Linked DNA regions of Callithrix jacchus. The protein of the gene in region 1 interacts with the protein of each later gene in a pairwise test. Links are inferred from orthologs where the notes say so. Each region holds a gene or a part of one and is shown in the gene's direction. Other genes may lie near its edges. The genes, in order: MAP2K3, ARNT, PDGFRA and FGFR4.

The links.
Region 2: the proteins of MAP2K3 (region 1) and ARNT come close enough for resonance energy transfer, tested with the Homo sapiens proteins (2 studies listed by BioGRID). The link is inferred for Callithrix jacchus from reciprocal best matches to the Homo sapiens genes MAP2K3 and ARNT.
Region 3: the proteins of MAP2K3 (region 1) and PDGFRA come close enough for resonance energy transfer, tested with the Homo sapiens proteins (2 studies listed by BioGRID). The link is inferred for Callithrix jacchus from reciprocal best matches to the Homo sapiens genes MAP2K3 and PDGFRA.
Region 4: the proteins of MAP2K3 (region 1) and FGFR4 come close enough for resonance energy transfer, tested with the Homo sapiens proteins (2 studies listed by BioGRID). The link is inferred for Callithrix jacchus from reciprocal best matches to the Homo sapiens genes MAP2K3 and FGFR4.

What each region holds. Positions count from the first base shown.
Region 1 is NC_133506.1:64,702,571-64,708,264, reverse strand, and holds the start of MAP2K3 (dual specificity mitogen-activated protein kinase kinase 3), read left to right. Parts: upstream 1-1,746; 5' UTR 1,747-1,920; coding exon 1,921-1,969; exon of another isoform or gene 1,970-3,593; intron 3,594-4,275; exon of another isoform or gene 4,276-4,476; intron 4,477-5,694. UniProt on the Homo sapiens protein: Dual specificity kinase. Is activated by cytokines and environmental stress in vivo. Catalyzes the concomitant phosphorylation of a threonine and a tyrosine residue in the MAP kinase p38.
Region 2 is NC_133519.1:10,773,888-10,779,668, reverse strand, and holds the start of ARNT (aryl hydrocarbon receptor nuclear translocator), read left to right. Parts: upstream 1-2,497; 5' UTR 2,498-2,632; coding exon 2,633-2,657; intron 2,658-2,821; exon of another isoform or gene 2,822-2,925; intron 2,926-5,781. UniProt on the Homo sapiens protein: Required for activity of the AHR. Upon ligand binding, AHR translocates into the nucleus, where it heterodimerizes with ARNT and induces transcription by binding to xenobiotic response elements (XRE).
Region 3 is NC_133504.1:142,462,337-142,466,419, reverse strand, and holds the end of PDGFRA (platelet-derived growth factor receptor alpha precursor), read left to right. Parts: intron 1-2,666; coding exon 2,667-2,814; 3' UTR 2,815-3,077; downstream 3,078-4,083. UniProt on the Homo sapiens protein: Tyrosine-protein kinase that acts as a cell-surface receptor for PDGFA, PDGFB and PDGFC and plays an essential role in the regulation of embryonic development, cell proliferation, survival and chemotaxis.
Region 4 is NC_133503.1:69,050,416-69,055,494, reverse strand, and holds part of FGFR4 (fibroblast growth factor receptor 4), read left to right. Parts: coding exon 1-68; intron 69-768; coding exon 769-1,032; intron 1,033-1,123; coding exon 1,124-1,204; intron 1,205-1,310; coding exon 1,311-1,477; intron 1,478-1,961; coding exon 1,962-2,085; intron 2,086-2,589; coding exon 2,590-2,780; intron 2,781-2,908; coding exon 2,909-3,047; intron 3,048-3,391; coding exon 3,392-3,585; intron 3,586-3,659; coding exon 3,660-3,805; intron 3,806-3,908; coding exon 3,909-4,030; intron 4,031-5,079. UniProt on the Homo sapiens protein: Tyrosine-protein kinase that acts as a cell-surface receptor for fibroblast growth factors and plays a role in the regulation of cell proliferation, differentiation and migration, and in regulation of lipid metabolism, bile acid biosynthesis, glucose uptake, vitamin D metabolism and phosphate homeostasis.

The sequences.
Region 1 (5,694 bases):
CCCAAGGAGCACAGTGCACAAGGCGGAGTGTGGGGGAGCAGGAGTCAAGGCCGTTGGCTGGGGCTTGAACCCGGAAAACTCGCTGGACCAGGCTTGCAATTCTGGTAGAAAGGAAATGGCTGCTGGATGCCCATTTTACAGATGGGTAAGCGCAGGTCACCAGGGATGATATGGCCAGGATGGAGGAAGCCCACAGTATTCACAAACTCACATTTCGTGGGCACCTAGTGAGTGCCAGGCCCTAGGCCAGGTATTTCCACTCCTGAACTCATGAAATGCTTTCAGAGTCCTTACTGTCCCCATGGGATAGATAAACTGAGGGACAGAGCTTCTCAGTGACTTCTCCAAGGTCACCCAGCTAGTAAGTGGGGGAGCTGGTGTTGGAGTTTGTACGGGTCTGAGCCCCAGGCTCATGATTTCCACCCCATGACCTGGGAAGGGTAAACAGGAGATGCAGGAAGAGAAAGGTGATGACTCCAAGGCTTCCCTCTTATCTCACGTGGCCCTCCCCGCCGCTGTGTGCACGGGGCCTGCATCACCCCCACTTTACACCTGGGCAAGCAGAGGTCAGCCCTGGCCTCAAGCGTTCTGGCAGGTGGTGGAATCTGCTTCCCTCACGTGAGGTCCCTGACAGGGTACACACTCATGTCTGCCTGGAGGCCAGGGGCTGACCCATTGCCCTTTGCCTGGCACATTCTGCCCTCACTAGCCCTGGATTTACATCCAGAGTCACCTGATCCCAGCACCAGATTGGTCAGCGGTTCCTGAAATTCCCCCAGGTTCTGTGTGGGAGCAGAGGGAGGACTGGCCCATCCACCCATTATGCAGATGAGCAGACTGAGGTCTTAGCAGGAGTGGAGAGAACCAAGGCCCAGGAGAGAGCCGGGATGGGGCCTGGGGCTCGCGGGATAAAATGCACCGCATGCCACCTCACTCCTTCTGAGACACAGTTTCCCCCTGTGTAGAACAGGGGCAACAGTAACCAGCCACGAAAGCTCCTCGTGCTGCCTTGTCACCGGGCATCGCTGAGCTCACCACCGACTCCACGCCCTGGACTGGCGCCTGGTGCCCGGGCTCAAGTGAACGTTTGTTGGCGCGGGGCTCTCCGTGCGTGTTAGCGAGCAGCGCCGGGAGGTGGCTGTCACCGCCGCCCGCTCACAGAGGCTTAGACTGAGGCTCAGGTGTCACGACCTGCCCGAGGCCAGTCCCGCTGCAAAGTTGCCGACTCGTATCTGAAACCCGGTCTCAACCCAGCAGCTTGCTTTTAACCCCCGGCCTCCTCGCCAGGCCCAGCCGCACCACCTTTGGGGATCTCGGGGTTTTTCCAGACCAAGCACCCAGGAGAACGCGCCCTCGCAGCGCACCCGCCGGGGCTGCGGGTCTGGAGGTGCTGGGCGGGGTCTGGGGGTGCTGGGGGGGGTCTGGCGCCAGCAGGGAGTTGCGGGCTCAGTGGGTCCCGGGAGTGGGCGGGGCTTGCGTGTTGACGGGCAGCGCGAGGGGCGAGGCTTTAGATCAGGAGGGCGGAGTCTGGCCGGGCCTTGTTTTTTCGGGCGGCGGGCGGACTTGACAGAGAGCGAGAGGGACCAGGATCTTGGGCCCACGGGGTGGTTGGGCGTATGTTTGATAGGCAGGGACAGCCGGCGTCTGATAGGCGGGGTACAGGCCTTGGAAACGGGAGGGCCAATCGGCACGCAGGGGTGGGGCCTAAGTTAGCGCTGTTCGGCCGGGGTACACCGGGCGCTGCCCAGTCTGGCTCTGGCGCCGCCAGTTGCGGACGCGTCCCGCTGCAGTCGCTGCCGCGTGCCTCTGCTCCTCCGCCTGACCCGGGCTATCTGCCCGCAGCCATGAGCGTGCTCGGCCCCGGTGGAGCCCGCTGTCCTCTAGATTAGTCCCCGCCGCCGTCCCGGACCGGTCTGCAGCATGGAGTCGCCAGCCTCGAGCCAGCCCGCCAGCATGCCCCAGTCCAAAGGTAGGCGCTCCCCGCCGGAACCTTGTCCTGACCCCGGGCCCAGTCTGGGGTCGGGCTGCAAACTCTGACCGTTCTGTGGTCCCACCCTATCCTGTCCTTGACCTAGCAGCGGCGCCCTGTCCCGGAACCCCTTCCTGTTTGGGTTCCCAGGACCGGCCCCAGCCTGGGACCTCACCTGGATCCCCAGGTTAGGCCTTGGGACTGCACTCAGGCTCGAGATCACCCAGGCTGAACCCAGGCGAGGACTTTGTTCCCACCCATCCAAGTCAGGAGCCCCACTCTGACCTCATTTGGGCCTTATGGCTGCAGCCTAGACAGGAACTCTCCCAATCTTCTCCGTCAGCGGGACCCGGGTGAGATTCACACTGGCCCCCACCTGGATCCTTGGTCAGCACCCAGTCCCACGTCCAGTTTCGGGACCCAGGGCTGTATCTAGGCTGGGATATCGCTTGCGTCTCCATCTGGGCCCCAGAGTGCTCCTGTTGTTGCGGGCCTCACTGTAGCCCCTATGTGGGTGCTCTGGCTATACCCCAGCTCAGAACCGCCTGACCTCCTCTCCCCCAACTCTCCCTCTCCTTTAGGCCCTATGTTACCCCTTCCCTGGCTGACCTCCACCCCGTCCTGCAGTCCTGTGTCCCCAGGAACCTCCCTTGTCCTCTCACCCCTCCGTAAGGTGCAGCCCCCTCTGTACCGACTCCTCTCTGAGTTGCAAGCTTCTCCCTGCACTTGGGGCGCTCACCCCATCTGGTTCCCGTCCCAGCTGCCTGGGATCTGGGCCAGCCGCCAGGCCAGGGTGCTGGCTGTGCAAGGGATTTGCTCTTCTCCAAGTAGCTGGCTTTCCTGGAAATTTTTGTGAGGTGGCGGCAGCAGGATTTGTCATGCGGAGGGGGGAAGGACGAGACTTGGAGGGCAGAAGGGGAATTTTTTTTTTTCAGGAAGAGGAGAGGATGTTTTTGGTGCGTCGGAGTTTCAGCAGGCTGTGTTGTGAGAGATTTCCAAACCGGACATAGCTGTAATGAATGGGCTGCCTCACCCCAGCAAGCTCCCTGGTGTCTCTGGGTCTCAGTTTTCTTTTCTGTAAATTGGAAGTCATCACACCTGCTTCTGTGGACGCGGGAGTGGGGTGTGGGGTGGTGAATGCTAATGAGCTCTGAGGCGTTCTTTCACTCAAAGAGAGCCTGGCGAGGGCCAGTGCTCACCAGGGGACACCGGCTGCATGCATCCCGCTGTTGCTTTCATTCTTGCTGGAAAGGCCCCCGCTGCTGGGACTCCACTGCAGAGTGAGCAGGAGGCAGGTAGCAGCGGGCACCCCCTCATCAGGGGTCAACCACTCTCCTGCCCTGGAGGGTGCATGCCAGTGGAAGCCCTATGGGGGTCTGGGGAGGGCATGGGCTCTTCCTGGCCCCTGCTGCTGGCTGCTGTGGTGGCTGGAGCCGGGTGGGCAGAATAATTATGCCTTACATAAGTGGGAGGCTGGATCCCTGACAACTGCCCAACCACTGTGAGTAACTCAGGAGGCACTCGCCGGGGGAGGCATCTGAAGAGGGACTTCACTGCACAGACCTCGTGGAGCTTGGGAACCGGGAAATCAGACACTTCTCCACTCTGGAGAGCTCGGGGAGGGGTAAGAAGCACTGTTTGTTTTGGAGGCTTTTTTAGCTCTCCAGGCAGGGAATGCCTCAGCAAAATAAAAGCTCCAGTTGCAGAGTTGTGCAGGGAGAGGGGTCACAGAGGTGGTGGGAGCGCTGTGAGAAGGCCAGGATGAACTTCTAGATGTGAACCCAGGTCCCAGATGAGGTTGGGTGGGCTGAATGGAGGGTCAGGGACCTCCCTCAGGCCCAGGCACTCTATAGCCTCTTCGGGGTCTGGAGAAGTATGTGGTGGCAGAGCCACAGTGCCCCTCACCAAAATCCCTGTGAGCTCCTTCTTTTTTTCCATGTGCCATGCATTTCCTCATTCATTCCTCACAGCCCCATTTACAGATAAGGAAACTGAGGCCCAGAGGCATTAAGTGCCTTGCCTGAGGCCACACAGAGGTGACAGGTGTACTAGGGTTCCCCCAGGACTGTGTGTCTCCACAGAGGTCTTCCCAGTGACCCCCTGTGTGCCGCTCCCATGCTAGATGCCTGAGCTGAGTGGGTGGGACACCCTCACCCCTGGCCTTGCTCACAGCCTGTGCAGTGGGCCTATCCTCATGGCCATGTCAGACCTCCAGGACAGACTGAAGCAGAGGTGCTGCCTTTCCTGTGCACAGCGCTTCACGCTGGGCCTGAGGCATATTCACTGCAATCTGACCCATTTGACAGATGCAGAACTGAGCTTGGAGGGAGGATGGCCGGCCTGCCCCAATAGGTGGAGATCCTCGCCCCATGCCCGCCCCATCCTGGGCACTGGGCCTCCCAGCACAGAGCCTTCTCCACCTTCTCAAAGGAATTTGAACACGGCAGGGAGTGGCTGGCGCTTGACCTTACTGGAGCTTTACCTTTGAGCTTCCTGCCATGCAGCAGGTACCCGGCCCCGTCCTCCGTCCTCCGTGCCATCGGCCTGGGGAGTTTTCTGTGTGTGTGCAGCCCTCAGGCCCGGAGCTCTGCTGGTCTTCCCCTGGCCTCCTTGCCCACATGGTCATCTTTGGGCCAGTGGGCAGGGGCATGTGTGCAAGCCACCTTTGTCCTTGCAGGGTACCACACATGTCCTGTCGTCGTTCAGAGCATGGGTTCTGCCCTTCTGCCCTAAGAGTGCCACCTGTGGAGGCACTTCATGGTTAATTTTCACATGGCTTGGACCGTGGCTCCGGACTCCTGACTGCCCCATGGGAACACCGAGGCTTCACGGAGCACAGCCATGTCCTAGCCCTGCCTGGTGTGGCCACCCTCCCCCACCTTCGGCTGTCAGAAAGACTGGAGGTGGCACCTCGGGGACTTCCCCCACCCCTCTTGTGACGCACAGGAAACTCTCTGTCAGCCAACCCATGGCCCAGGGCCCAAAGGGAGCAAAGTTCTCAGTTGGCCTGTGTGAGGAGAAGGCCGGGACCACGGAGGCTTCCGGCCATGAGTCAGCGGGCACTGGGTGCTGACTCACCCGCTGGGCATGCCAGCCGGCTGCCTACAGCTTAAAGGGGCGATGCCACCAGCCTGGTGGGTGGGGAGGGGGTTACGTGTCCTGCAGGTGGCACCTAGCCCTGAGCTGGGGCACTGGAGGTGGCCCCTTCCGGGACCTCGGGCTGGGCTGGGACCCCCTGGGCAGGCCCTCTGTGCCCCACCCAGGAACTTCCTCTATTAGGCAAGGGGCTCTGCTTCCTCTTGCTCACGGAGCAGGAGCAGGTGGCAGTGGCTGTTTACTGCCTTTGGCCCAGGGGACTCCTCAGGTTCAGCTGTGCAGCTGGGACTCGGGGGGGTGAGCAGCAGAGGTGGTGCAGGGTAGGCTGGGGTGGGACCCGGCCTGAGTTCCTGGAAGGTGGTTATGTGGAGGGGCTGTGAGACCTCAGTCTCCAGAGCCTAACTGCCTGAGCGCATGCCCCAGCTCCATCCCTTTTGCGATGTGACATTGGACAAGTTGCAGCTGGTCCACTCGCTGCACTCTGTAAATGATTTCTGTCCCTGGGCAAGGCCCAGCCCTCAGAGGAGAAGCCTCCATTTCCTCATCTGCAGACTGGGAATGGGGACCCTGTCTGTCTGAATGCAGATGGTTCCATTCCACACTTGCTGAGTTTCAGGCGCGAGTCATGG
Region 2 (5,781 bases), on another chromosome or scaffold:
GAGATGGAGTCTCCCTCTGTCACCCAGGCTGGAATGCAGTGGCACAATCTGGGTTCACTGCAACCTCTGCCTCAACCTCCCGGGTAGCTGGGATTACAGGCACGTGCCACCGCACCCAGCTAATATATATATATTTTGTATTTTTAGTAGAGTCGGGGTTTTAACACCTTGGCCAGGCTGGTCTTGAACTCCGGGCCTTGTGATCCACCCGCCTCAGCCTCCCAAAGTGCTGGGATTACAGGCATGAGCCACTGTTTCTTTTGAGTGGACGATTTTTTTCTTTTTGGTGAATTATAGATATAACAAAATGAAAGAAAAATGAAATTTTAACACATGTAAACAATAATATGCAAATTATGTTAAATACCTTTGCAGTGAACTAATAAGAGGATCAATTTAATCTGTGCAGTATATATACAACTTCTAAGAATGTAAAGATGCTCAATAGCATAATGGGATTTTTGTTAAATTTTTAATTAAATTTGTATTAAACAATTTGTGATTGTACATGTAAAGGCAGTATAGTCTAGTGCTAAAACTGTAGTGCTAAAATGGGAGGGTGGGTATAACAAGTTTCTGGTGTCAGACTCCTTTAGTTTGCCTCCCACATTACTTACCTGCTAGATGTCCCTTGCCATTAACCTCTTTGTTTCTGTTTCCTTAACTTTCCTTAACTGCAAAATGGAAATAATAGTAGAACCTACCTCATCATTGTTGTAAGGATTAAATGAATAAATGCATATAAAGCATTTTGGACAGTGCCTAGACCAAATAGGTCAATGCTTCCTATTATCGGGAAACAGAAAATAACCAGACATGGTGGCGCCCCTGTAATTCCAGCTATCTGGGAGGCTGAGGCAGAATCGCTCTATCCCGGAGGTGGTGGTTGCCGTGAGCCGAGATCGCGCCACTGCATTCCTGCCTGGGACAGAGCAAGACTCCATCTAGGGGGAAAAAAATGAAAAAAGAAAATAGATCTGCATAGCCATCATCTTATTGATTACCTGCTAAAACCTCCTCACTGTAATTCCAGCACTTTTGGAGGCTGAGGCGGGAGGATTGCCTGAGGTCAGGAGTTGGAGACTGGTCTGGCCAACATGGTGAAACACCGTCTCTGCTAAAAATACAAAAAAATTAGCTGGGCGTGGTGGCGTGTGCTTGTAATCCCAGCTACTCGGAAGGGTGACTCAGGGGAATTGCTTGAACCAGGTAGGTGGAGGTTGCAGTCACACCACTGCACTACAGCCTGGGCCTCCGCCTCAAAAAACAAAAAGGAAACAAAAAAACTCCTCATTGTGTCCCTATCACTGACCAAAGGAAGTTAGCCACTCTGCAAATACTTTCTTCATCCATTGCCTCCAGTTTTTGCTGTTGCTATCTCCCATACCAAACCGTTAACACCCGGATCCTTTTATATTACAAATTCCATAGCAGGCATTCAAAAATTAGTCACTGCCGGGCACGGTGGCTCACGCCTGTAATCCCAGCACTTTGGGAGACCGAGGCGGGCGGATCACGAGGTCAAGATATCGAAACCATCCTGGCCAACATGGCAAAACCCCGTATCCACTAAAAATACAAAAATTAGCTGGGAGTGGTGTCGCGGGCCTGTAGTCCCAGTTACTGGGGAGGCTGAGGCAGGAGAATTGCTTGAACCCGGGAGGCGGAGGTTGCGGCGAGCCGAGATCGCGCCACTGCACTCCAACCTGGCGCCTGGCGACAGAGTGAGACTCTGTTTCAAAAAAAAAAATAAGTCATTTAACTTTTTTCACCAAGGACAAAAGTCTTTAAAAGGGGGAAAAAACTGGAAAGGATTACAAATCACCATATGAAGTTTAAGTATTAGAGCACCTACAGGGGATTTACAAGATAAATTGTTTGCAGGGCAACCACTCAGACGAATCCACCAGCAAGCGAAGGTTTTTAGTAAAATACCTATTTTTTTTTTTTTTGAAACGGAGTTTCACTCTTGTTGCCCAGGCTGGAATGCTGAGGCACAAACTTGGCTCATTGCAACCTCCGCCTCCCAGGTTCAAGCTTTTCTTCTGCCTCAGCCTCCCAAATAGCTGGGATTACAGGCATGCGCCAATTTTGTATTTTTAATAGAAACGGGGTTTCGTCATATTGGCCAGGCTGGTTTCGAACCCCTGACCTTAGATGATCCACCAGCCTCGGCCTCCCAAAGTACTGGGATTACAGGCGCGAGCCACCTCACCGGGCCTAAAATACCCGTTTTAATTGTATTTCAATGACATCACTTGGTCATTGACCTCTTACGCAAGGAGGGCGGGGTTAGGAAGACAGCTGGACTTCTTCCTCGCCCTCCCTCCCGTGGACTGGCTGGCGCAGTGACTAGCCCTGCCCTTAGTCGATTTGGCATTTTCAGTGGTCAGTTTTTTCCTAGGAGGCTGGCCGTGTGTTGACTCCGCCCACCGTACAGGCGGGGTCTCTCCGCTACAGAGGCTGGGATGGTGGGGGTTGCTGAAGCCGCCATCTTGGATTCCGCGGTAGCGGAGGCAGCGGTTAGGCGCCGCTTCTGGGGAGTGGCCTTTCTCTCCCCCTCCCTCCCGGTTCGGTGGCGGTGGCTCCTCCCACTGGGGGGGGTGGCGCGGCGGCGGTGGCATCCACGGCCATGGCGGCGACTACTGCCAACCCCGGTGAGGAGACGGAGGACTGGGGCGCCTCTAAAGGGGAGGGGCTGAAGGGGCTGACAACTGAGGAGACCCAGGACTGAGGGGACGGAGCTGGAGCTGAAGGCGCCGGGGCGGGGCAGGGCCGCGAGGGGACAGTGGGGGAGCGGTGACCCGGGGAGGGGCCTGACCCTGAGTACTTGGGTAGACTCGAGGTGGAGGGAGCGAGGGAGTTGGGGGCTCCCTGTCCTGAGCTCCGCTGGAGCTGCGGCCGGTGCGGGGCTGGCCCCCCCTCGCTTCTCGGGCGGCGTCTGGTCTGTGATGTGGTCCTCTCTTAACCCTCTGCTCGCTGGAGCCGCTTGATGCCGAAAACTGTAGGCAGAGCGGCTCGGTTTGCTTTAAGGATAGTTTGGATTTAGGGCTAGCTGGACCATATTGCTCTTTAGTTGAGGTGTTGCTTCCAAACATTTAAAGGTTTAGAATTTAATTAAAAAAATTAAAAATGGACATTATTTGATATATACGACGTTTCTTTAGGCTGTTACCTCCCACCCGCAACCCCGGACTATGCTTTGAAACTTAGGTCTTGTTTTAAGAAGGCCTGTAGTGTCTTTGCCTGCTGAGGGCAGGGGTTTGTATAATGGTTGTGGTTCCGGACAGGTCTTTGGTCCACGGCCCCAGGTTTAAATCTTGTTAGGCCCGGGTCGATGCAATCTCCAAACTCTTTCAGAAAAGTTTGATTCCACACCGTTTCTCAGTTTCAAATAATAACCAAATATCAAAAAGATCTCACCTTTCTTGTCTAAGAGATGGAGTAGGCTTTAGTGTAGGTCTAGAGAGATGAGATCTTCAAATTACTAGTCCCAGCCCTCTTTCCTCTATGTTACAGTTATTTCTCCTTAGAAGGTATTTCATTTTAGGGGCCTAGTTCATCTCGCTGACCTTGGTCATTTTTGCAAAATAAAGTCTATCCTTTCCCAGAAACCAGTATATTTGATAGCCTTAAAAAAAAAAAAAAAGCCTTGAGGGGTGTGTGTGTGTGTGTGTGTGTGTGTGTCTGTTGTGGGGTTGGGGGGTGGGCAGAGAATTTCTTGAAAATACAACAGTGGGAGTGATTCCCCCATCCCCACGTTGAAATTTAAGTTAGATTTGTTTTTCATGTTACTGAAAGGTGGTATTATTTTGTGATACCCAAATTTTGATAGGACAGTTGAATCACTGAAATTTCTTTTTCACCATGTTTCTGGGAACAGCTGTTTTAAGAAATGGTTAATTTGTTACATGTCATCTTTTAAAAATCTTTACATTTTTTTTTAAAGGAAAGGGAGGTAAAATTAATGGCAAAAATTACATTGCAGGAAGTGCTGAGTGATGGAATAAAACTGTAAAACAGGAAAAATACCGTTAACGGCAAACCTGACCTTGTAGTAAAATAACCTATCCGTGAACTATGGAGTAAATAAACAAGATTTTTAACTGATCACACATTGCAAAATACTTATATAATCCTAGTTAAATTGCAAAGCATTTCTCATTAAAAAGTGGCCCGGGTAAACAAGTTTTAGTTCTTATGTCAGAAGCTTTTTTCCAGCTGTGTGGGTGGGGTTGCTATATTTTGTTTTGTTTTTTAAACACCAGCAACCAGAATGACAGCCTCTTGACCGTATTTTCGTAAGCTGATCAATATCAGCTTAAATCTCAGCAGAAAGAGAGAGAGAGAGAGAGAGAGAGAGAGAGAGAGTGTGTGTGTGTGTGTGTGTGTGTGTGTGTGTGTCAAGAGCACACAGAATCCTTGTTAATGAAACAGTTTTTTTTTTTCTCTTACTGTGCTTTGGCTGCCTTGCTTCTGCAATTTTTAGATCCTTTCTTTTTTCTTTTCTCCTCTATTCTTTTTGACACAGGGTCTTGCTCCTTGTTCTGTCACGCAGGCGAGAGTGCAGTGGCAAGATCACTGCTCATGGTAGCCTCCACCTCTGGGGCTCAAGTGATCCTCTCACCTCAGTCCTTAACCTCTCACCTGAATAGCTGGCACTGCAGGTGCCTTGCCACTATGCCCACTTAATTTTTAAATTTTTTTTGTAGAGACAGATGTCTTACTATGTTGCCCAGGCTGTTCTTGATCTCCTGGTCTCAAGCAAGACTTGTCTCAGTATGTCAAAGTTGGGAATACAGATGTGAGACACTTTGCCTGGCCAGATTTCTTTTTTGATGTTGAAAAATTCTGTCTCTTCTAACTTATTGATCCCATGTTCAGTTCAAACAAATCAAAAGATGTATTTTCTTTTTTTTTTCTCCCTTTGTACTTTTATATCAAGAGGAAGAGATCATAGATACATTGTGGATTTTTTTTTTTTTTTTTTTAAATAGAGATGGGGTTTCACCCTGTTATCCAGGATGGTCTTGAACTCGACCTCATGATCCACCTGCCTCAGCCTTCCAAAGTGCTGGGATTACAGGTGTGAGCCCTCATGCCCAGCCTACATTGTGGATTTTTTCAGCAGTCTGTTGCATTTTGGGAAATGAGATTAATGAATGGAGGGACATTATGTGGAAATGTACTGTGCTCAGTGAAAAGAAAGTAAATGGTTTTCAGGTCAGAATTCTTTGCTACATTGTCATACCTTATTTCCTTAGAGCCGTTTTAAGGACCAGGGACATCATGAGTTTTTTCTACTTCGTATTTTTGCTGGAGTACTAATTTTTTTTTTTTTTAAACAATTTGTTTTTTTTAAACAAATTATTGTTAGTTTTGGCTAGAAGTTTTTTTTAGGACAGAGTTTTGCCCTTGTTGCCCAGGCTGGAGTGCAATGGTGCGATCTCGGCTCACTGCAACCTCTTCCTCCTGGGTTCAAGCGATTCTGCCTCAGCCTCCTGAGTAGCTGGGATTATAGGCATGTGCCACCACACCTGGCTAATTTTGTATTTTTAGTAGAGGTGGAGTTTCTCCATGTTGGCAAGGCTGGTCTCGAACTCCTGACTTCAGGTGATCCTCCACCTTGGCCTCCCAAAGCGCTGGGATTAAAGATGTGAGCCGCTGCTCCTGGCCAAGATGATTTAAAAAAATATTTCACTCTTCTCTTGAAGCTTCATTTAAGTTAATCCTTTTTAAAAATATATGTATTTTTATTTTTGAGACAGGGTCTCCCAGACT
Region 3 (4,083 bases), on another chromosome or scaffold:
TTGCACCCGATAATGATGCACTTCTGGGTGGTGAGTCTGTACTCGGGAGCAAGTTGCAGAATCCCCAGGACATCTGTGTGGTTTTGAAAATGCTTCCCAGATAATTCTGATATGTTCCCCCTGGGGCTGGGGGAGGGGCGTGTGAGTTGTGGGGAGGGAGACATGCTTCCCTGGTGGAAAATCTTTGAGCTAAGTTCTTAGGTAATTGACCAAATTGATACAGAGCTGTGATTATTGCGATCCTATGAGCCTCTCCTGTCTTAAATAGTCATTGAACTAGAGAAAAAGTGGACGGCTGGGCGTGGAGGCTCATGCCTATAATCCCAGCACTTTGGGAGGCCAAGGCGGGTGGATCATGAGGTCAAGAGATCGAGACCATCCTGGTCAACATGGTGAAACCCCGTCTCTACTAAAAATACAAAAATTAGCTGGGCATGGTGGTGCAGCCTGTAATCCCAGCTACTCGGGAGGCTGAGGCAGGAGAATTGCTTGAACCCAGGAGGTGGAGGTTGCGGTGAGCCGAGATTGTGCCACTGCACTCCAGTCTGGGTAACAACAGTGAAACTCCGTCTCAAAAAAAAAAAAAGAGAAAAAGTGGAGAGAGGCAGGACCGGGTCCTTTGATGCTATACCTTACCTGTGAACTGGAATCACCTGCAGAGATTTAAAAACTGCTGATATACAAGTGTCACCCAAAACAACAAATTGGAATCTCTGGGGGTGGTGGCCAACTGCTCCCTGGCTGATTTGTTTCTGCTTTCTTTTAAATGTTGTATTATGGAAAGTTTCTAACATGTGTACAATTCACATAGAATAGTGAGCTGTTTGGTATCCGTCACCCAGGTTCAGTAAGTATGCAGTCTGCCAGCCTGGATGCAGGCATGGCCAGTCTGTCTCTCCTCAGCCTCCTCTGGATTGTTTGGAAGCAAATCCTAGGCACCGTATCATTTTGCCCATAAGTATTCCAGTGTGTGTCTCTTAAAGATAAGAGCTCCATTTTAAAGATTAATAACATTATTTAAAAAGTTGTTAAAAATAACTACCATGCCATCATCTCACCCAAAACAGGGACAATAGATTGTTAAGGCATCAGATAGCCAGTTAAAATTCAAATTATCTCACAAATATTATCATACTCCATTAAAAAGTGAGCAGAGGACATGAGCAGACACTTTTCAAAAGAAGACATCTGTGCAGCCAACAAACATGAAAAAACGGTCAACATCATTGATCATTAGATCAAATCAGAACCATGATGAGATACCATCTCACAGCAGTCAGAATGGTTATTATTAAAAAGTCAAAAAATAACAGGTGCTGATGAGGTTGTGGAGAACAGGGAACGCTTAGGCACTGCTCATTGGAGTGCAAATTAGTTCAGCTACTGTGGAAAGCAGTGTGGTGATTTCTCAAAGAACTTAAAGCAGAATTACCATTCCACCCAGCAATCCCATTATTGAGTATATAACCAGAGAAATAGAAATCGTTCTACCACAAAAACATGCATACATATGCTCAGTGCAGCACTATTCACAATCACAGAGACATGGCATCAACCCAAACGCCCATTGACAGTAGACTGCATAAAGAAAATGTGGTACTTATACACCACGGACTGCTATGCGTCAATAAAGAAGGACGAGATCTGAGATACCATATCCCACCCGTCAGAGTGGCTGTTATTTAAAAGTCAAAAAACAGCAGATGCTGGTGAGGTTGTGGAGAAAAACGCTTTACAACGTTGGTTGGAGTGTAAATCAGTTCAACCGTTGTGGAAGACAGTGTGGCGATTCGTCGAAGACCTAGAGGCAGAAATGCTGTTTGACCCTTTAATCCCATTACCGGGTATATATCCAAAGGAATATAAATAATTCTATTATAAAGATACATGCATGTGTATGTTCACTGCAGCACTATTTCGGTTGTAAAAGGGCTCTGCTTCTAAGTAAAGTTAGAAAGTCACATTGAAATAAATAACATGAGACAGGTGCCTAGAAGTTTTCTAGGGCGACAGCAGGCTGAGCTGAAGAATTTGATACACCAGGAATTGAACTTTCTCAGTTGAAGTTAAGTAAGTGACATCACGCAGCTAGTAAGTGATGGGACCATTCCAGACCGAAGACTTTTTGACGCCAGAAGTCCCCTTTCAACCACTGCTGTGGTACATAAGGAGGCCTTCAAGATGTGGGGGGCACTGGCTGTCAAGAGAGAGGGAAAGAGGCCATTCCAGGTGAGTGGCAGGAGATCCTAAGAACACAGTTTGGATCTCAGGAGGCTTCCGGGAGAGAACCTGACAGGCCTGGCTGCAACTTGCAGCTGACTTCACCCCCCTGCTCTGCCTTCCTGGGCCTTTGGATCAGGCATTGCTTATTTTCTCTTCCACTAGGACTGAGTAGGGAAGGTAGACATTGTTGCAGCTGCTCAGCAACTTCGATGAAAGACCCGGCAGAAAAGCAGGAAAGCTGAAGTGTAAAAATGACAGGTGGACCTTGGTTTTCCATGTGGCCTAGCACAGCATGTCAGGCCAGGGCAGAATCTTGCCATACTCTGCAGCCCAATTTTGAATGCGGAAGGCTTTCCTTTGTCTCTGGGGATGGGGGACACACTCTAGTTCTAGTTCTGTGCAGGAGAAGCTTTGTAACCTTTTCTCTTCTCTCCCTCCTCCAGCTCACAGACCTCTGAAGAGAGTGCCATTGAGACAGGTTCCAGCAGTTCGACCTTCATCAAGAGAGAGGATGAGACCATCGAAGACATCGACATGATGGACGACATCGGCATAGACTCTTCAGACCTGGTGGAAGACAGCTTCCTGTAACTGACAACTCGAGGGGTTCCTTTCACTTCTGGGGCCACCTCTGGATCCCATTCAGAAAACCACTTTATTGCAATGCAGAGGTTGAGAGGAGGACTTGGTTGATGTTTAAAGAGAAGTTCCCAGCCAAGGGCCTCGGGGAGCCTTCTACATATGAACGAATGGGATATTTTGAAATGAACGTTTTCCAGCATTGCCTCTTGTAATGCCTCAGTAGCATCTCAGTGGTGTGTGAAATTTGGAGATAGATGAACAAGGGAATAATAGGCCACAGAAGGTGAACTTTGTATTTCAAGGGCATTGGTGAGAGTCCAGTGGACACAATTTATACAGCGACAAAACTTCAGCATTGTAATTATGTAAATAACTCTAACCAAGGCTGTGTTAGTAGATTGTATTAACTGTCTTCTTTGGACTTCTGACGAGACCACTCAATCCATCCATGTACTTCCCTCTTGAAACCTGATATCAGCTGCTGTTGAACTTTTTTGTGAAGTGCATGAAAAACCACTTTTGAACCCTAAAAGGTACTGGTACTATATATTTTACTATTTTTTTTTTTCTAGCGTTAAAAGAGATCAAGAATAATAATTAACCAACCTTGTTTCATAGATTTGGGTCATTTAGAAGGCTGACAACTCATTTTCGTATTGTAATCTACATTTATAATAATACTACTGTTATCAGTAATGCTAAATGTGTAATATGTAACATGATTTCCCTCCAGAGAAAGCACAATTTTAAAAAATCCTTACTAAGTAGGTGACAAGTTTGACAGTTTTTGACATTTATATTAAATAACATGTTTCTCTGTAAAGTACGGTAATAGCTTTAGTGAATTAAATTTAGCTGAGCATAGAGAACAAAGTAAAAGTAGTGTTGTCCAGGAAGTCAGAGTTTTTAACTGTACTGAATAGGTTCCCCCGTCCATGGTACTAAAAACAATTAACTGCCCTCTGAAATAATGGGATTAGAAACAAACAAAACTCTTAAGTCCTAAAAGTTCTCCATGTAGAGCCATAAACCTGTGCTGAACATGATTTCTCATGTATATTACCCAATGGAAAATATAATGATCAGCAAAAAGACTGGATTTGCAGAGGCCTTTTTCTTCTTCTTCTTCTTCATGCCTGGTGAAAGCTTCAGCGAATCCCAGTCTATATATTTTTTGAATCTGTGAACCTGAAAAGGGTCAGAATGATGCCTAGACATCAGCCTCCTTCTTCCACCCTTGACCCAAAAAAGAAAGAGTTTGAAACTCGAGACCATAAA
Region 4 (5,079 bases), on another chromosome or scaffold:
GGGATTCCTGCTGAGTGTGCCTGTGCCTCCAGCCTTGTCCCTGGAGGCCTCTGAGGAAGTGGAGCTGGGTATGGCTTCTGAGGTGGGAGAGGGTGGCAGGGGTGGGAAGAGTGGGCACCAGGAGGGGGCTGCTGGGCTGAGTAAAGCTGGAAAGGATCCTTGCCCAGGCCCTGAGAAGGTGGCAGCAGGGCAGGGCCCAATCACTGAGACTCAGTCAGTGCCTGGCTTCCAGCAAGCATCCATCTATCTCTGTGTCTGCGAGAGAGGACTGGCCTTGCAGGGCGCAGGGCTCTGAGCTGGGATGCAGAGCAGTTGGTGAGCTCCTTGCCTGGGTGTGTGTGTGTGTGTGTGCGTGTGTGTGTGTGTCTGTGTGTGTGTGTGTGTGTGTGCTGTGCACTGGATGTGTGGCCTAGAAGGCCCAGGCAGCATGTGGTATATGCATTATGAGTGTGATATGCCCAGAGGTGTAGCATGAGCCCTGTATGTGGCACCAATGGCATGTGCCATGTGTGCGTGTGTGTATGTGTGTATGTGTGTCTTGGGCAGTGGCATGTGCACTAAATGCTGTGTGTGTGACATGCCCCAAGAGTGTGGCATTTGCCCTGGGTGTGGCATCCGCAGCATGTGGTAATGTGAGTTTCAAGGATGCTGGCCCCTCTAGCATGCATTGTGAGGTGCTTGTGCCCTGCATGTGCGGCATGTTCTCTATGCAGGAGGCTGCCTCGGATGGGGCTGCAGGGTCTGCTGACCTCTGCCCTCTGCCCACAGAGCCCTGCCTGGCTCCCAGCCTGGAGCAGCAAGAGCAGGAGTTGACAGTAGCCCTTGGGCAGCCTGTCCAGCTGTGCTGTGGGCAAGCTGAGCATGGTGGCCTCTGGTACAAGGAGGGCAGTCGCCTGGCACCTGCTGGCCGTGTACGGGGCTGGAGAGGCCGCCTAGAGATTGCCAGCTTCCTACCTGAGGATGCTGGCCGCTACCTCTGCCTGGCACGAGGCTCCATGATCGTCCTGCAGAATCTCACCTTGGTTATAGATGGTAAGAGACTCTAGCAGTGAGTTAAGGGATGCCTAGGAAGAGAGACCTGCCCTTCTTGGACCTCAGACACCTCCCTCTCTCCCTGATATAGACTCCTTGACCTCCAGCAATGATGATGAGGACCCCAAATCCCTTAGGGACTCCTCGAATGGGCATATTTACCCCCAGCAAGGTCAGTATAAGTCTTCAAGGACTTGCATCCGCACTGCTCATCTGGTCACTGAGAAGAGGCCTGTGTAGGAACACAGTCATTCTAAGGGCCTTCCCCCCGACCCCAGCACCCTACTGGACACACCCCCAGCGCATGGAGAAGAAACTGCATGCGGTACCTGCTGGGAACACCGTCAAGTTCCGCTGTCCAGCTGCAGGCAACCCCACACCCACCATCCGCTGGCTTAAGGATGGACAGGCCTTTCATGGGGAGAATCGCATTGGAGGCATTCGGGTGAGTGTGGGACCCCAGAAGGAGCCCTAGACTGTGGACTTGGCGAGCTCTGGTTCAAGTTCCTCTTCTGCCACTCTCTGACAAGTGACTTAACCTCTCAGCCTCAGCAACTCCATTTATAAAGTAAGAAGAATCACTGACTGGTATGGTATCAATAAGCCTTAGCATCTCATCATCTTGATGAGACCCTACTGAGTCAGCTCCATGCTATCATGAGGCAACTGAGTCTCAGAGAAGGCAAGGGCTGGCTTAGAGTGGCACAGATAGGGAGAGGGAGAGCTAAAACTCAAAAGACCCAAGGCTCAGGACTTTGGGGAGCCTTCTCCTTTGTCCCATAGTCCTTGGCCTGGGCCTGATGTCCTCGGGGCCTAGAGAGCTTGAGAAAAGCCCTATGGGCAGGATGAGGATCTAGGCTCCTGGTCCCCTGGCCCCCCTTGGTGGATGTGGTCTGGTGGTCCCATGGGCACACTCCCTCTGTCTGCAGCTGCGCCATCAGCACTGGAGCCTTGTGATGGAGAGTGTGGTGCCCTCGGACCGCGGCACATACACCTGCCTGGTGGAGAACTCTGTGGGCAGCATCCAATACAGCTACCTGCTAGATGTGCTGGGTGAGCATGGGGCAGGGAATTGGGGAGGCCTGACTGTCTTGGGCTCAGTTGTGCCCTCTGGTGGGGCCTAGCTTGGCAGGCAGGATGGACTCAGATGAGTCAAGCAGCTCAGCGACCAGGTGGGTCAGGGAAAAGCACAGGAGTTAGTGTGGCACTGGATGAGCAGGGGTCTGCTAAGAGGAAAAGCAAGAAGGACATCCAGGCTGAGGGCGCAGCCTGAGCTGAGGGCCTAAGTATAACGAACGCCCTGCACTTGCAGTCCAGCATATACCTAGGGCGTGGCATTTATGTGGAAAGCCAGGTGGTGGAGGGTTTTGAATGCTAGGCTGAGATGTCATCCTTGACCCGAAGCAATGGGGAGCCAGGGAAGGTTTAAGCAGGGTAATCAGGACAATAAGCTGCAGAAAGGTCCTTCCCTTGAACTTGAGGAAGGCTGGAGGGAGACAAACAGGGTGCTTCTATGGGTGCTGGTAATCAGGGCTGACCACCTCGCCTGGTCCCCAGAGCGGTCCCCACACCGGCCCATCCTGCAGGCTGGGCTCCCGGCTAACACCACAGCCGTGGTAGGCAGTGATGTGGAGCTGCTGTGCAAGGTATACAGTGATGCCCAGCCCCACATCCAGTGGCTGAAGCACATTGTCATCAATGGCAGCAGCTTTGGGGCCGACGGCTTCCCCTATGTGCAAGTTCTAAAGGTACAGTCCCTGCTACAGCCTGGGTCCCACTCTTCTCCCACCTGGGGTTGGGGGGTCCCCAGCTTCCATCTTGGCCTCTGTGTGGCCCCAGGCCCTGCTGTGACCCCAGAATATGTCCCCCTCCCCAGACTGCAGACATCAATAGCTCAGAGGTGGAGGTCCTGTACCTGCGGAACGTGTCAGCCGAGGACGCAGGCGAGTACACCTGCCTCGCAGGCAATTCCATCGGCCTCTCCTACCAGTCGGCCTGGCTCACGGTGCTGCCAGGTGAGCACCTGAGGGACCAGGAGATGCTGCAAGGTGCCCCTCTGGTCCAGCCATGGGGGACGTGGCCTGTCCGGTGGTCAGTCTCTATTGGTCTGTGGGGTCTGGCCTGTGAGGCAGTGTGTGGATTTGTGTTTTTGAGCTGTATGACACCCCCTCTCTACATGTGGCTGTCCATGTGACCCTCTGCTGAGGTATGGGAACCTGGGACTGGGCATAACTACACCTTCCTCCGTTTGTGTCCCCATGCATGTTGGGAGCTGGGAAGGCCTGAGTGGGGCGCATGGGACGGCCAGTCTCGCCACTGACCCGTTTGTCTGTCTGTGTGTATTCATGTGCGAGGGCAGAGGAGGACCTCACGTGGACTGCAGCAGTGCCTGAGGCCAGGTATACGGACATCATCCTGTACGTGTCGGGCTCCCTGGCCTTGGCTGTACTCCTGCTGCTAGCTGGGCTGTATCGAGGGCAGGCACTCCACGGCCGGCACCCCCGCCAGCCTGCCACTGTGCAGAAGTTGTCCCGCTTCCCTCTGGCCCGACAGGTATTGGGCGCATCCCCCACCTTGTGTGTTGCAGCCTGACTCTAGCAGGCAGAACCAAGTCTCCCACTTTGCAGTTCTCCCTGGAGTCAGGCTCCTCCGGCAAGTCAAGCTTATCCCTGGTGCGAGGTGTACGTCTCTCCTCCAACGGCCCTGCCTTGCTCGCCGGCCCCGTGAGTCTAGACCTACCTCTCGACCCACTATGGGAGTTCCCCCGGGACAGGTGCGCTGAGCTGTGTGGGGGCGGGGACACGGGCGCTGGGTTGCAACCCACCCTTATCAGGAGTGATTCGGAGGTCTGAGGCATGCACTCTCTCCATCTCCAGGCTGGTGCTTGGGAAGCCCCTGGGCGAGGGCTGCTTTGGGCAGGTAATATGTGCAGAGGCCTTTGGCATGGACCCTGCCCAACCTGACCAAGCCAGCACTGTGGCCGTCAAGATGCTCAAAGGTGAGTGTGGCTGGGTGCAGTGACTCACACCTGTAATGTCAGCCCTTTGGGAGGCCAAGGTAGGAGGAGGATTGCTTGAATCCAGGAGTTTGAGGTAGCCTGGGCAATATGGTGAGACTCCATCTCTACAAAAAGAGTAAGAAAATTAGCTGAGTGTAGCGGTATGTACCTTTAGTCCCAGCTGCTAGGAAGGCTGAGGCAGGAGGATCCTTTGAATCCAGGAGTTGGAGGTTGCAATGAGCCATGATCAAGTCACAGTATTCCACCCTGGGCAACAGAGTGAGACCCTTTCTAAAAATAAATAAATAAAAATAGGCCAGACGCAATGGCTCATGTCTTTGTAATTCCAGCATTTTTGGAGGCTGAGGCGGGCGGATCACGAAGTCAGGAGTTTGAGACCAGCACATCTCTACTAGAAACAGAAAAATTTTAGGCCAGGCACAGTGGCTCACGCCTGTAATCCCAGCACTTTGGGAGGCTGAGGCAGATGGATCATGAGGTCAAGAGATCAAGACCATCCTGGCCAACATGATGAAATCCTGTCTCTACTAAATATACAAAAATTAGCTGGGCATGGTGGCACACACCTGTAGTTTCAGCTACTCGGGAGGTTGATGCAGTAGAATCATTTGAGCCTGGAAGGCAGAAGTTGTAGAGACCCAAGATCACGCCACTGCACTCCAACCTGGTGACAGAGCGAGACTGTCTCAAAAAAACAAAAAAATTAGCCAGGCGTGGTGGTGGTCACCTGTAATCCCAGCTACTCTGGAGGCTGAGGCAGGAGAATCACTTAAACCCAGGAGGCAGAGGTTGCAGTGAGCTGAGACCATGCCATTGCACTCCAGCCCGGGCAACAGAGGGAGACTCCGTCTCAAAAAAAAAAAAAAAAAAAGAGAGAGAAAAGAAAAATAAAAGGTGAATGTGACAGCCTGGAGGCGGTGCTATGGCACTGGGGCTCACGGTGCTACCAGGTGAACCTTGGAGCTGGGAGAGGCTGCAGGATCCCACCCTTAAGCCTGCAATTCAACTCCACTCCTGACCCTGGCAAG